3 linked regions of the Drosophila melanogaster genome follow. The protein of the gene in region 2 interacts with the protein of the main gene of each other region in a pairwise test. Each region holds a gene or a part of one and is shown on either strand. Other genes may lie near its edges.

Region 1 (4,928 bases), on a different chromosome or scaffold from region 2:
ATTACTTAGCCTCCAGACTGACTGACTTTATTCATAAAACCCAACTGAAACTGATCGCGTGTCTGGAAAAAAAATGTCTGGCCACAAGGAATCGTAAACATCTATATATAACGTATACATATTGTATTGGGATTATTCGGCTCAAAGCCTCGTTGCCCAGCTGATTCAACTTTGCTCGCCGGCAACAGTTTCCAGCTAAATAATTTATTTATTGATTGCCACCCAGGCCAGACAAATTGACGGCGTCGATGAGGGCCACCAGTTGCTCCTATTCTTTTTTTGTTTTTGCGTTCACGTTTCACTTGGCTTGTTAATAAATTATTAGTAGGAAGCGATGGGTCTCGAAAAACCACAATAGCAGCAGCTTTAAACGGGCTAAACAACCTGAAAAATACACAGAAACCAGCTGGACAAAAGTAGTTGACCCTGTTGTTAAAGGCCAGTCGAGAAGTAGCTGGCCTAAAAATCCGTTTATTCCGTTTATTCCATATGGCAAATATATATTTTGAACTAAATATGAAAATACGTTCTGAATAAACAATAGCGCAAATTCAATTATATCTTTTTGTTTGTTGGCTCTGTGTCAGTTTCAACTGGTTTCAATGGCATTGTCACATTTTGAAAGCTACTTTGCACACTCATTCAAATTGAATTAAAAATTTACTTTATTAATTTTGATTTATATGTTTCGCTCTGCAAAAAGATGAATCAACAATCCAGGGCAGCTGGATGAAACCATTCCAGAAACGAAAGTTCAGACTGTCAACATTTTTAAGTCACCTAAATATTCCCAAAAACGACTGAATTTCGTATATTACGAAATAGTTTTTTTTGACTTCTTATAAACTATAGTTGCGCTTGTATTGAGTTGAGTGTAACAATCTTATCAAACATCCCACAAAACATTAGTTCAGCATGAAAGCTGATAAATCTTCCATCAAGTGTCCTAAACCCCAGCGAAAATAGCGATTATCGACGACATTGTGCATTGTGCCGAATACCTAAATACCGCTGGGAGTACAATAAAGATAAAACCAGTACGCTGGTCCTTCGTCCAAATTGTGGAAGTCGTCTATCGACTATGGTGAGCAAAATCGACCAGAAATCATGACATAGCTAACAGATAGGAAGGGGTTTTGGTCTCAAGTGCTCCAAACCGTAAATTGTCGCGTCGGACCATGAGAGAATTTCGCGTGATAAGCGGTTTGAATTGCCCACCCAGATAAGCCGTAATACCATACCAGGTATTTGCCGAGTGGGTTTAGTCATCCCAATGTGGGTGAGATAAAAGTGGACAGGGGTTTACTTAGAGAGGTTCAGGTACCTGACGTTTTCACCGCAGGGGTGCCAGAGGATTCGAAACTACTGCGAAAGAGATCTTTCTGTATATATATGTAGATATAATAGCATGTTTCTAAAGTAAGTTTTTAGGTAGATTTTAAAGACAAGGAAGTGCCATATCAGTAATTTTCTAGAGATTTTTTTTTTAAAGAATTATGATGTATTTCAATTGTATTCTCAACCCAAATCAAAAGAAAAAAAACGAGAGAGAATTTGCAGGTGTTTATTTTCATTTGAATACGCAGCGTTCAAAAGTGATTTGTGTTATTTTCGAGTGCTGTACAGTCAAAAAGAAAAATAAGCGCGTGCAATAAAAGTTCGTTTTGCCTTTCATGATTGATTTATTGCTCAAAAATGGCATATTTGGATATGAAATCGTCATAATTACTTGCAAAATTTTGAGCTTTCACATTTAAGCACTTTTGTTAACATTATGGAGCATTAGGTAATGAATTTAATTAGTTTCGTACGGATGCTAGTAATGTTTTAGTTTCCTAGGTATCTATTATGTATCTAGTATTCCAGTATCTATTTTCGATTACAAATTTAGTTATTTTTGATTAGCGTACAAGTTAAGTCTTACCAGAAGAGTATTCTCAGCGAGTTGGCCACCAGCAGCGCCAGGCACACGTACAGAGAGAATCCCTCCGCGTCCTGCGTCTTCTTGATCTCAATGTATTGGGGCACGTAGGGGATCACGCCCCCAATAACCATTGCGGAGGCGGCGGCCCAGCCCACCACGTGACCGACCGTCAGGCCCATCTCATCATTGATGATCCAATCCATTGTGAGCTATCTCTGTTTACTGGAAATTTGGTTATATTTAGTTTATTCGTTTACTTTGTGTTTTGAAATTTATTTTTCGTTTTAGGTTTTGTCGTTTAGCGGATATGTGTAGTTTATGTTATTGATTTGATTTTTTGACTAGTTTAAAAGCCGGCGATTGGAAGTAGTCGTTGTTGTAGTTACTGGATTTCGCATCGTTTGCGGTTATAACTATTGTTTGTTGAACAGTGTAATGCAGGAAGGAAAGAAAGGAAGTCAGCTGTGTGTTGTTGTTGCTGTGCTTGTTTTTCGTCGTTTCGCTTTGATCTTCTACTTTTGCACACACACACACACACACTGACGCACACCCACACGCAGGCAGCGAAGATATTTATTTTCTATTTCCCTATTGCTCTCGCACGCTCTCACTCTTTGTCGCTCTTTTAATTTTTCCTGTGTTTTCGTTTTCCGCGTTTTTTTTGTATTGAATTTTCACCGAATTTTCTATGCCCCTTTTTTCACGAATCGTCACCGATTTTCCTGCGCACACTTTTCTGGCAGCGGAAAACACTAGACGAGCAAAGCGCTGCAATCACAAATCGCTCCATTTCTACGCAAACACATCAGCACACTTCATAAATGCTCTCGGCATTTCAATTGCATTTTCCCCCGTTTGCCTTTTCCGTTAATTGAGTTAAATTTTTGTTGTGGCTGCAGCCGTTGTTGTTGTTGCTGTTGTTGCTATTATTATTGTTCCGGAAAATCGTACTTATTCATTCGCTAATTGCTGTCGCTTGCTGTTGTTTCAATTTTCGTTCTTCTTCGCACTTTCGGTGGTCAGTTTTCCTTTCACCTCGCCACAGTTTGCATTTCCTCTGCGAGTTTGCGGAAAAACTGTCCGCGGATCAACCGCACGCAAGCGAAAACAACAACACAAACAAACGTACACAAGTTTTGTGGCTAGTGTTACCAGTCAGCGAAATCCTGAAACTCACATTCCCTAACGCATCTGACATTATTATTCGATATTTTTGTTATACTCGTTTTCGACCTGTTTAACGGTAAGATGACTAAGTACCGCGGAGTACCAATCGGTACCTATTTCCGTACCTAGTGTTATATAGGTACAAAATAGTATGTGCGCCTCCAACAAAAGCGTTTCAAATATAAATGAGTTATTTGTATTAATTTATATATATATTTCATTTTCAAAGAAAAATAAGACGAAAAATTCAACTGATATCAACAAGCTGTGATTAATTAAGTATACCGATTTTTGTTGAATCTTGTTTTATTATACAAATAACTGTACACTTCGCATTTATCACAGTGAAAACTGAAAATTGTTGTATGAAATAAAATTTAACTAAGCAAAAATAGGGGTGACACAATAACATTTCGATTTGATAGAGATGGTAATTAAAAATAGATTAAGTTAAAACCTAGTTCTTCTTTTTCTTCTTGTCGGGTTGGGCCAATCCTTGCGACTCCTGGTATTGCCGGACGATCTGATCCTGGACATCTGGGAGACAAGGCGAGTACCTGGAGTACTCCATGGTGAATTCACCCTTTCCCTGGGTACTCGATCTGTAAATAAAGATGAGATATATTTAGATACAATTCAACGTTTCCAATGTGTACTGAAGATTACCTCAGCTCTCCCGCATAGCCAAACATGTCGTTCAGCGGTACCTCCGCGTAGACAGTGAACCAACCCTCGGTTCCCTCAGTTCCGGTGATGATACCATGCCGTTTGCTCAAGTGACCCATTACAGCACCCTGGAATTCCTCGGGTGCAGTGACCTCGACCAGCATAATGGGCTCTAGGATTTGCCAGCTGCCGTTCTGGAAGACCTCTTTGATGGCACCATGGGCAGCCAACATGAAGGCGAGCTCGCTGGAGTCCACGATGTGGTGACCACCATCTTGCAGGCGGAATCGAATGCCGGACAACTTGTGACCGGAGAGCATTCCCTTCTCAGCCATTTCTCTGTAACCTAAGCAAATAAAATATTAAAATCAGAACATTGAGGAATGTAATTTTAGTTACCCTTTTCGACTCCAGGAACAAATTGTTTTGGTACATTGGTGCCCACTGTTTCGTCCACGAATTCCAGCAGGGTGTTTTGGTTCGGCGGTAGTGGTTCCATGACTCCAATAATCCTGGCATATTGACCCGATCCTCCCGATTGTTTCTTGTGCAGGTAATCAAACTCACACGGTCCCACCAGGGTTTCCCTAAATGCTACTTTTGGCTTTCCCAGCGTCACTGGGCAACCGTATTCCCTCTCCATTCTCTGGGCATAGATCTCCAAATGCAGTTCACCCATTCCCGAGACAAGAGTTTCCTTTACATCGTTGTCGAAAAAGAAGTGGAATGTGGGATCCTCTTTGGTGAATCTCGCAATAGCCTTCGAGAAATTATCCCTATCCTTGGTATTATTTGGCTTAATGGCCATTGAGACCACGGGCTCGGGTACAAAGATGGATTCCATAGACAGATTGTTCTTGGGATTGGTGGTGAAAGTGTCTCCGGAGGCGCAATCAACTCCGAAAAGCGCAAATATATCGCCGGCATACACCTCGTTTACATCCTCCATTTGATTTGAGTGCAATCGAACCAAGCGAGCAATTCTCACTTTCTTGTTGGTGCGGGCATTGAAGATGTTGTCACCCTTCCGTAGGACACCTTGGTAGCATCTGAGGTAGGTTAGTTGGCCAAAGCGACCAGCTTCCAGCTTGAACGCCAAGCCAACAAAGGGATCCTTGCCATCGCGGGCGGGATTTAAGACTACTTTTTCTGGGTCTTGTCCTTCCTTCTC
Region 2 (3,569 bases):
GAAGCTAAACTGAAAATAAGAAAGAAGACTGCCTGAAATGCTTGAAAGAATAGAGTTGTCCAAAACAGCCAACCATATTGCTAAATACATATATTTTGTAAAAACCATCTTTAATTATATTATATACATACCGATAAGACTGCAAATATTAGCATGAACGATGCCAAGATAGTTAACAAATCGGGAGACATTTGTATCACAGTGTAGAGAGCTTGTTCTGGGTAATAAAACTAGATTATCAAATGGAATCATTGGAACTGCTTAGTCACTAAATTACCTGGGAATTTGTGCTGCATTTCTCTGAAATAGGTTCCTATCAAAACATTAAATTTAATGCAAAAAATAATACTAATGCCAATGTGAATATATATTTACTATTTAAACAAAGGAGCATATAGTCAATGTTCATGCCAGCCAAAAAAATTCCAGCCAATGCAATCAGTATACATCCCATTTGCAAGGATATACAGAAGCAAAATTTTTTAGCCAGAATCATAATTTCAGACGTTTTGACAGGAAATGCAAATAAGATATTCTGCAAAATATTTTTATTTTTAGAATTTCTTTTAAGCCTGAATGTTAAAAAATTATACGTATATTTTAAATTATCAAAACAATTCTTTGTTAATTTCAATGTACAAGATTTGTTTATGAACCACAAGTCGTATACGTAATTTATGTACATTGCAAAACTTTTAAGCAAATACTCATGTTTAGCTCGCCCAGATGATGGCGCCAAATTTAAACGAAATTGCCTTCACATTTTCCGCCATATCTTCTTTATTGTGGTATTAACTTTTTTGCATAATTACAACTTAAGCAATCTGTATTATGGCCTCATTAGCATTAGCCTAGAATTTCCAGCCCGATGTGTGTCGTGTTTGTCAGGCACGCGTGGAATCGTTTTCAGTTCTCATCAAGATGCTAATGAAATTATAAAGAAAATTGAGTCTGCCATATTAGCACAGTAAAAGCATCATCCTCTCACTTGATGAGCATGGGGTAAAGAGCACGAAATGCTATTGCTTTTCATCATCTTAAAAATCAATTTCGCTGATCTCAATTTAATTTTTAAGGACATCCTCTCATTTATCCACACAAACTGGTCTGAATTCATCTGGATGCGCTTTTACATAATAATACGTGTAGACTTTGAGCAAACAAAATAAATCGATTCCTGAAAAGCTGGAGCATAACTTACGAGAATAGAGATTTTTAATATATATGTTTACCCAACGTCACTAAATTCACGAAAACATAAATAATCGCAGAGACAGCACTTTTAAAGAACGGATTGCGAACATTTATCAAAGCATTGAAGATGATGTAGTACGATATCATATGAATGATGAACATGGCCATCCACACGAAAACGATCCTTAAGTACTTCTAAAAGGAATTTTATTAGAATTAAAAATATTGGAAGTGATTTTCTTACCGTCATAACAGATATCAGCAGGATAACTGCAGCTGCGATCATCAGAGCTATATGAAATACATTGAACCATTTCGCATAAACATCAGTCTTGAGTGCTGGTATTTGGGTTTAGATGCTGTTCTTAAAATTCAGGTTTCCTTACTTTTCCAACTCACTGTTCTTGTATATAACCTCATCCACAGTAGTGCCTGCGTTAAGGAATCCGAAAAACAGTGTGTAGAATGAAACTATGATGCATCCAGAAGTCAGCGAGATGCAAAAGCAAAATTCTTGTCTGACCAGCTTTCTTAAAAATGGCATCAAAAATAGGAAAAATACGTTGCTATAAATTTTAGAAAATACAGTTCCATGTTTGACAAATAATGCCAACCGCTTTCAACTTTTAAACTCCATAAACTTCAACTTTCTTTCCATCAGCTGGCGAAACTGAATTGCTGCATCTCCTCTGGTTTTAGGTCACTGCAGTCTTCTGTCATTTTCAACAAAGTTTCGAACGACCTCGACCTCCCACGGAAACTTTAGCCTTTCGGAAAAGTTAGACAAAGTCCCTTGGTCTCTATTTTTTTCTTCATTATTATCCCCTGAGCAAAGTGAAACTGCTGCCTTTTCCTTGCCTAATGCGTTAATTGAAAGCAGCAGCCGTCTAAAAATTATGTTTTCAATAGACTGGAAAATAGGGGGTGATTTCCGAGGCTTGGGGTTTGGGATTATTAAAGATAGCTCGCATCATGGACTTACTTGAAGTGTTAAAGAGGATTTGTGTTGGCAAAAGTTCACTAATTTAAATTTAGTTCAAACAGTGACAAAATATGTTGCAAAGGGAATGCATTGGGCTTAAATTCCATAAATTAAAAAAGATGTTATTACCAAACAAGAATTGATTGGGTGGCTCAAGGGCAATATTTCATGGAAATGTGAAGACGAAGCCTAATAAGACAATATTAGATGGTGGTTTACTAATGAGCCTAATCAGATTAGTGTATTGTTTCCCAGACTTGATTATCTTGGTGCACCATATGGTTGATTTATTTTTGATTGATTGCAGCATCAATTTATTTGTCATCAATACCAACATGTTGGTGTTGATGCCCCATTAAATGTCAGGGAGAAAGAAAAAAAAAAAACAGAAAGTAGAGTAAGTTCAAAAAAAGGACATGTCACATATCATAAGCACCGCTCGAAGCTCCCAGCCAATACACAGATCGATGGAATCTCTTTCATCCACTTCCAGCAGCCACTGGCAGCTCATCTATCATCATTGCCACGAGTCCTTTCTATCCCGGAATGCTTCCACAGTATCCTGTATACTCTCTGCCCCGCTTGACACCCTTGCACCCCATCCCTGCCGTATTTATAGCATCTTAATTGAATTTCAATTTTCAATTTCGCTTTTAATTGAATTCAATGAAAAAGTGTCGATGAGACGGTATTCAGCATTGGTCCCATCCCCATCCCCATCCCCATCCCCATCCAACCATCCGTCCATACCCCCAGAACCCCATCCCAGCCCACTCCCATTCCCTGCACTTGTTGTTGATGCTGTTTATTCAGCTGCCAGTTGAGCACCGCCTGGCTGCCTCTTGATGGCGCCATTCACGCCACAAAGCGTACCGTCCCCACTGAGCTCCCTGCACTTAGAAAAAAAAAATCATTACCATCCTGGTCATTAAATATCAAACGGAATTAGCCATATTATTGCGAAGTCCGTATAAAAATAAAAGAAAATAAATAAAGGCATACAGATGTAATTTTATATTTTGGTATAATTTTAAATAAAAATGCAATCATTCGATTTTTCTGTGTACCTTCGAAATAGGTTTCAAACACCCAAAAACGAATTGTTTTTTGAAATTGCTGTTCCAATTATTTGATCCACAGCAAAATTCACCTGGTTCGTTAATTTAAAAGTAGAAGAATATTCGTTGATAGTGTATTTACTATTTAACAGGTTGAATGGAATATATTCTTGATTAGGATCACTAGCCGAGTCGATCTGGCTTTGTCCGTTTATCTGTCCGTTCGTATAAGCGAAAAATCTTTCATTGCCGCAATTTAAAAATGTACAATATAAATAAATGTATTGTATTTTATTATTGTATTATTGAACTAATTGTTTCTCACCAACTTATAT
Region 3 (3,029 bases), on a different chromosome or scaffold from region 2:
TTAAGTCTCCATGCAACTGCAGTTTAAGGGAAACCAAAACATCTGTGTCAATAATGTGTCCAAATCATAATTTTTCCGCAGGCCAATGACCAAGCTAAGCGGTACAACAGTCTGAGCAACCAGTGCGCAGCTGTCTCACCTCAACAGGATCTAGTGAACTTCGTCCGGCTCCTGGCCCAACCATCGCAGGCCCAGAAGATTCCCAGACGGCTCTTTGCATCGCCGCAAGCAGAGGTCGGCGAGGAGGCGGGCGACCACAACGTGAGTAGTAGTGCATATAACACCTGTCCGGCGGACTAAAGTGATTGTTTTTGTGGGCACCTGTCCGCCGCAGGAGATGACGCCCTGCCTGCGGAACGAGTTGGTCTTCGACCGGCACTCCACACTGTCACAACGCTCCGCGTTGGAGTCGCTGAAGCGGGAGGCCATCGAATTGGAATTGCAAATACGTCAGCTGCAGGTGAGATGAATAATCCACAATAATACACAAAATGATAAAAGCTCACAGTACGATATCGCAGCCATGTCGGTACTTAAAAAAAATGGTTTGTTATGTTTCCAAAGATTTTATTTGAATGGGTGGCCAATATCACAATTGTTTTTTTTTTCTGTTATCCTTTAACTTTCACAAAAAACTATGTAAAGTCATACAATTAAAAAACCGCTTATATCTGTTCGGTATTCTCGATAGAACTGCACTCTTTGCCATCTGAAGTGTGCATTTCGGTGTATGAGTTACACTCATCTTGCTTGTCTTGGAATTTACAAATTAAAGATGCGACTATCAATGTGAAATAGCCCTCCAGAGCTGTTAGAGGTTATATTGTTTATTTTTTTTGCAATGACTTCACGTTTTGGCACTTACTCAATGATGGAACTATTAGAAAAGTTTGTGCAAAATTTGGGTTCCTTAAGTTATTATTTATATTCGATATGAGAGTGGTGAATACCGTTATATAAATCCAAAGAAAGAGGCAAACCTGGTGGCCCTTGACGAAAAAGTATGGGTATTAGCCTTTATATTCGAATACCATCTGTTGACTCTCACCCATTTGCTTCCAATTAGCAACAGCAGAGAATTGAGAACAGTAACCAATCCGAGTCCCATGCAAAAACGATTACTTGTATGATAAAGCAACATTCTTTTGATTATTCCTTCCCTATCGATTTTTGTGATCCAAAAGGGATCAGGTATCATATAACTTGGCACTGATTGATTGGATAAACGATATATACTGAATATCTGTATTACGCTCACCAAAGCCTCAAAGCCCGCTATAATCCTGCATCCTTTTTCCAAATCGAAAAAGTAGAAGAAGCTCTTCAATCTTGGGAGGGCCTTACAATTGAGCCTTATGTTGTTCCAATGCTGATTTTCCGAAATGCGGCGATTTCCTTGGCAATTCTCATTAGAAGACATTTTCAGGAAATTGCTTTTAATGATAGTTAAATATATGTTATTTGGGGTATTGCCTATGAAAGCTTTTAACTAGCCTTCTTTTACAAGTAGATCTATAATATTACAAATACATTTTATTCTTAAAAATTGTAAACTTTTACAAGATCTATTACAAAAATATTTATTTAAATAATCAATTTGACTGGTTACTTTTCCTCTCGTAGGACTCCATCGAGGCTCTAAATCGAACGCAGACCCGTGGAATCGAGGGTCAGCTGTACAACAAGGTCAATGAGCTTCAAGAAGATTTGTCCATGAAGAAGTTCGACCTGCGAGCCAAGCAGATCCATTTGGCGGCCATAAGGGCTCAGGTGAGTTTCGATTTAGTCGGGGTGAAAAGCTATAAAGTTTAGCGGGAAAATATACCACGATAAAGCTGGAAAAGCAGCAAAAGAAACCACTTCGAAGTTAAGTTTATGCCATGGAAAAGCTTTCACTTAGCTTTCCACAGACCTGTTGCTGACAGCTTTTTGGGTGAACTTTTCATGGCCGAGATCTAATGAGTTCCATTAGGCGGGGTCGGGACGCCCGACACGCCCCCCGTTTGCACGCTTGAAAGTACAGATGAACTGGCGCTCGTATGTAGGTCAAACAGCTGATTGGCGACTGCGCATGTGACCCAAGCGTTTCGCCATCTCCCTCGCTTTTTGGAGCACTGAAAGCCGCCAGCAGGAGCCAACTGTGGGTCAGGTTCGTCCTTCGCCTTTCGCTTAGTCCTGCGGTAGATTAGCTTGTGCGTGGTCAGTGCGGCTGTTTGGCTTGATTTTGTCCTGCATTTGCTAGGTCCCTGTTTTTTTTTTGCGGTCCTCACAAGAGAGTTACTCAGTCAAAATTACACCGTGTGCTGTGCGATTTTCTGTGTTTTCTGGTGTGACAAACTATTACTGCGTGGGAGTTTGGGAAAAACCATCAGGCTTTTGACTGTAACCTCAACCTCTGGGCCTGCAAGTGAATCAGCTGTTGCCGAACAGGGCTCGGAAAAGTCACTTCAGAGAGAGCAAGAGAGAGACAGAGAGTGAGAGAGAGAGAGAGAGAGAGAGCGCGCGCGGAAAATTGCATGCGAAGCGTTGCCAGACATTCGAGCCATCTCCCGATGTAGCTGTTTATAAAAGCAGCGTGCAACGGTCGCTCCGAGTCAGTCACGTGCTTGCACTTCGACGTATACGTAACGCGGCTCGCCAGCTCCGCTCTTGGGTGATCCGTTCGACAAATTAGCCGTAGCCGTAGTGCCGTAGCCGTAGCCGTAGCCGTACTTCCGCAGCCGTATCCGTATCCGTAAACGCGCCGTCGTCGTCGTTTTTCGTCGCGACTGAGGTGCGATTGGCTGCCAATCGCGCAATTGGAGGGGCTAGCTAAGAAACCAATGCAAACGAAACACAAACCTTAAATCCAAATAAAATTGAAATATATTAATATATATATATCCCGAAAACAGACACCATTCATATATATATATATATCCTCCTAATATATATGCATAATTTTAGAGCGCAGTTCAGGGCAGGCTTTTCTAGGCGAGTTGTTCTCTATTTTGATAGCCACACACAAGATAAATTGAATTGAGTGCAGC

Evidence for each region. The genes of interacting proteins can lie anywhere in the genome.
Region 1: the proteins of CG42263 (region 2) and CG13784 interact in a two-hybrid assay, tested with the Drosophila melanogaster proteins (one large-scale study listed by BioGRID).
Region 3: the proteins of CG42263 (region 2) and CG30472 interact in a two-hybrid assay, tested with the Drosophila melanogaster proteins (one large-scale study listed by BioGRID).

What each region holds. Positions count from the first base shown.
Region 1 is NT_033779.5:7,216,985-7,221,912, forward strand, and holds the start of CG13784 (uncharacterized protein), read right to left. Parts: upstream 3,050-4,928; 5' UTR 2,876-3,049; exon of another isoform or gene 2,147-2,875; 5' UTR 2,128-2,146; coding exon 1,925-2,127; intron 1,870-1,924; coding exon of another isoform or gene 1,869-1,869; exon of another isoform or gene 1,667-1,868; intron 1-1,666. Other genes in the region: mEFG1 (mitochondrial translation elongation factor G 1), read right to left, coding at 3,549-3,693, 3,758-4,103, 4,157-4,928.
Region 2 is NT_037436.4:19,954,015-19,957,583, forward strand, and holds CG42263 (uncharacterized protein), read right to left. Parts: upstream 1,786-3,569; 5' UTR 1,739-1,785; coding exon 1,594-1,738; intron 1,534-1,593; coding exon 1,439-1,533; intron 1,390-1,438; coding exon 1,233-1,389; intron 1,178-1,232; coding exon 1,086-1,177; 3' UTR 533-1,085; downstream 1-532. Other genes in the region: CG42654 (uncharacterized protein), read right to left, coding at 1-80, 132-217, 278-313, 376-496.
Region 3 is NT_033778.4:15,422,636-15,425,664, forward strand, and holds CG30472 (uncharacterized protein), read right to left. Parts: upstream 1,505-3,029; 5' UTR 1,421-1,504; coding exon 1,049-1,420; intron 990-1,048; coding exon 866-989; intron 809-865; coding exon 666-808; 3' UTR 550-665; downstream 1-549. Other genes in the region: Stacl (Stac-like), read left to right, coding at 82-261, 335-460, 1,624-1,770.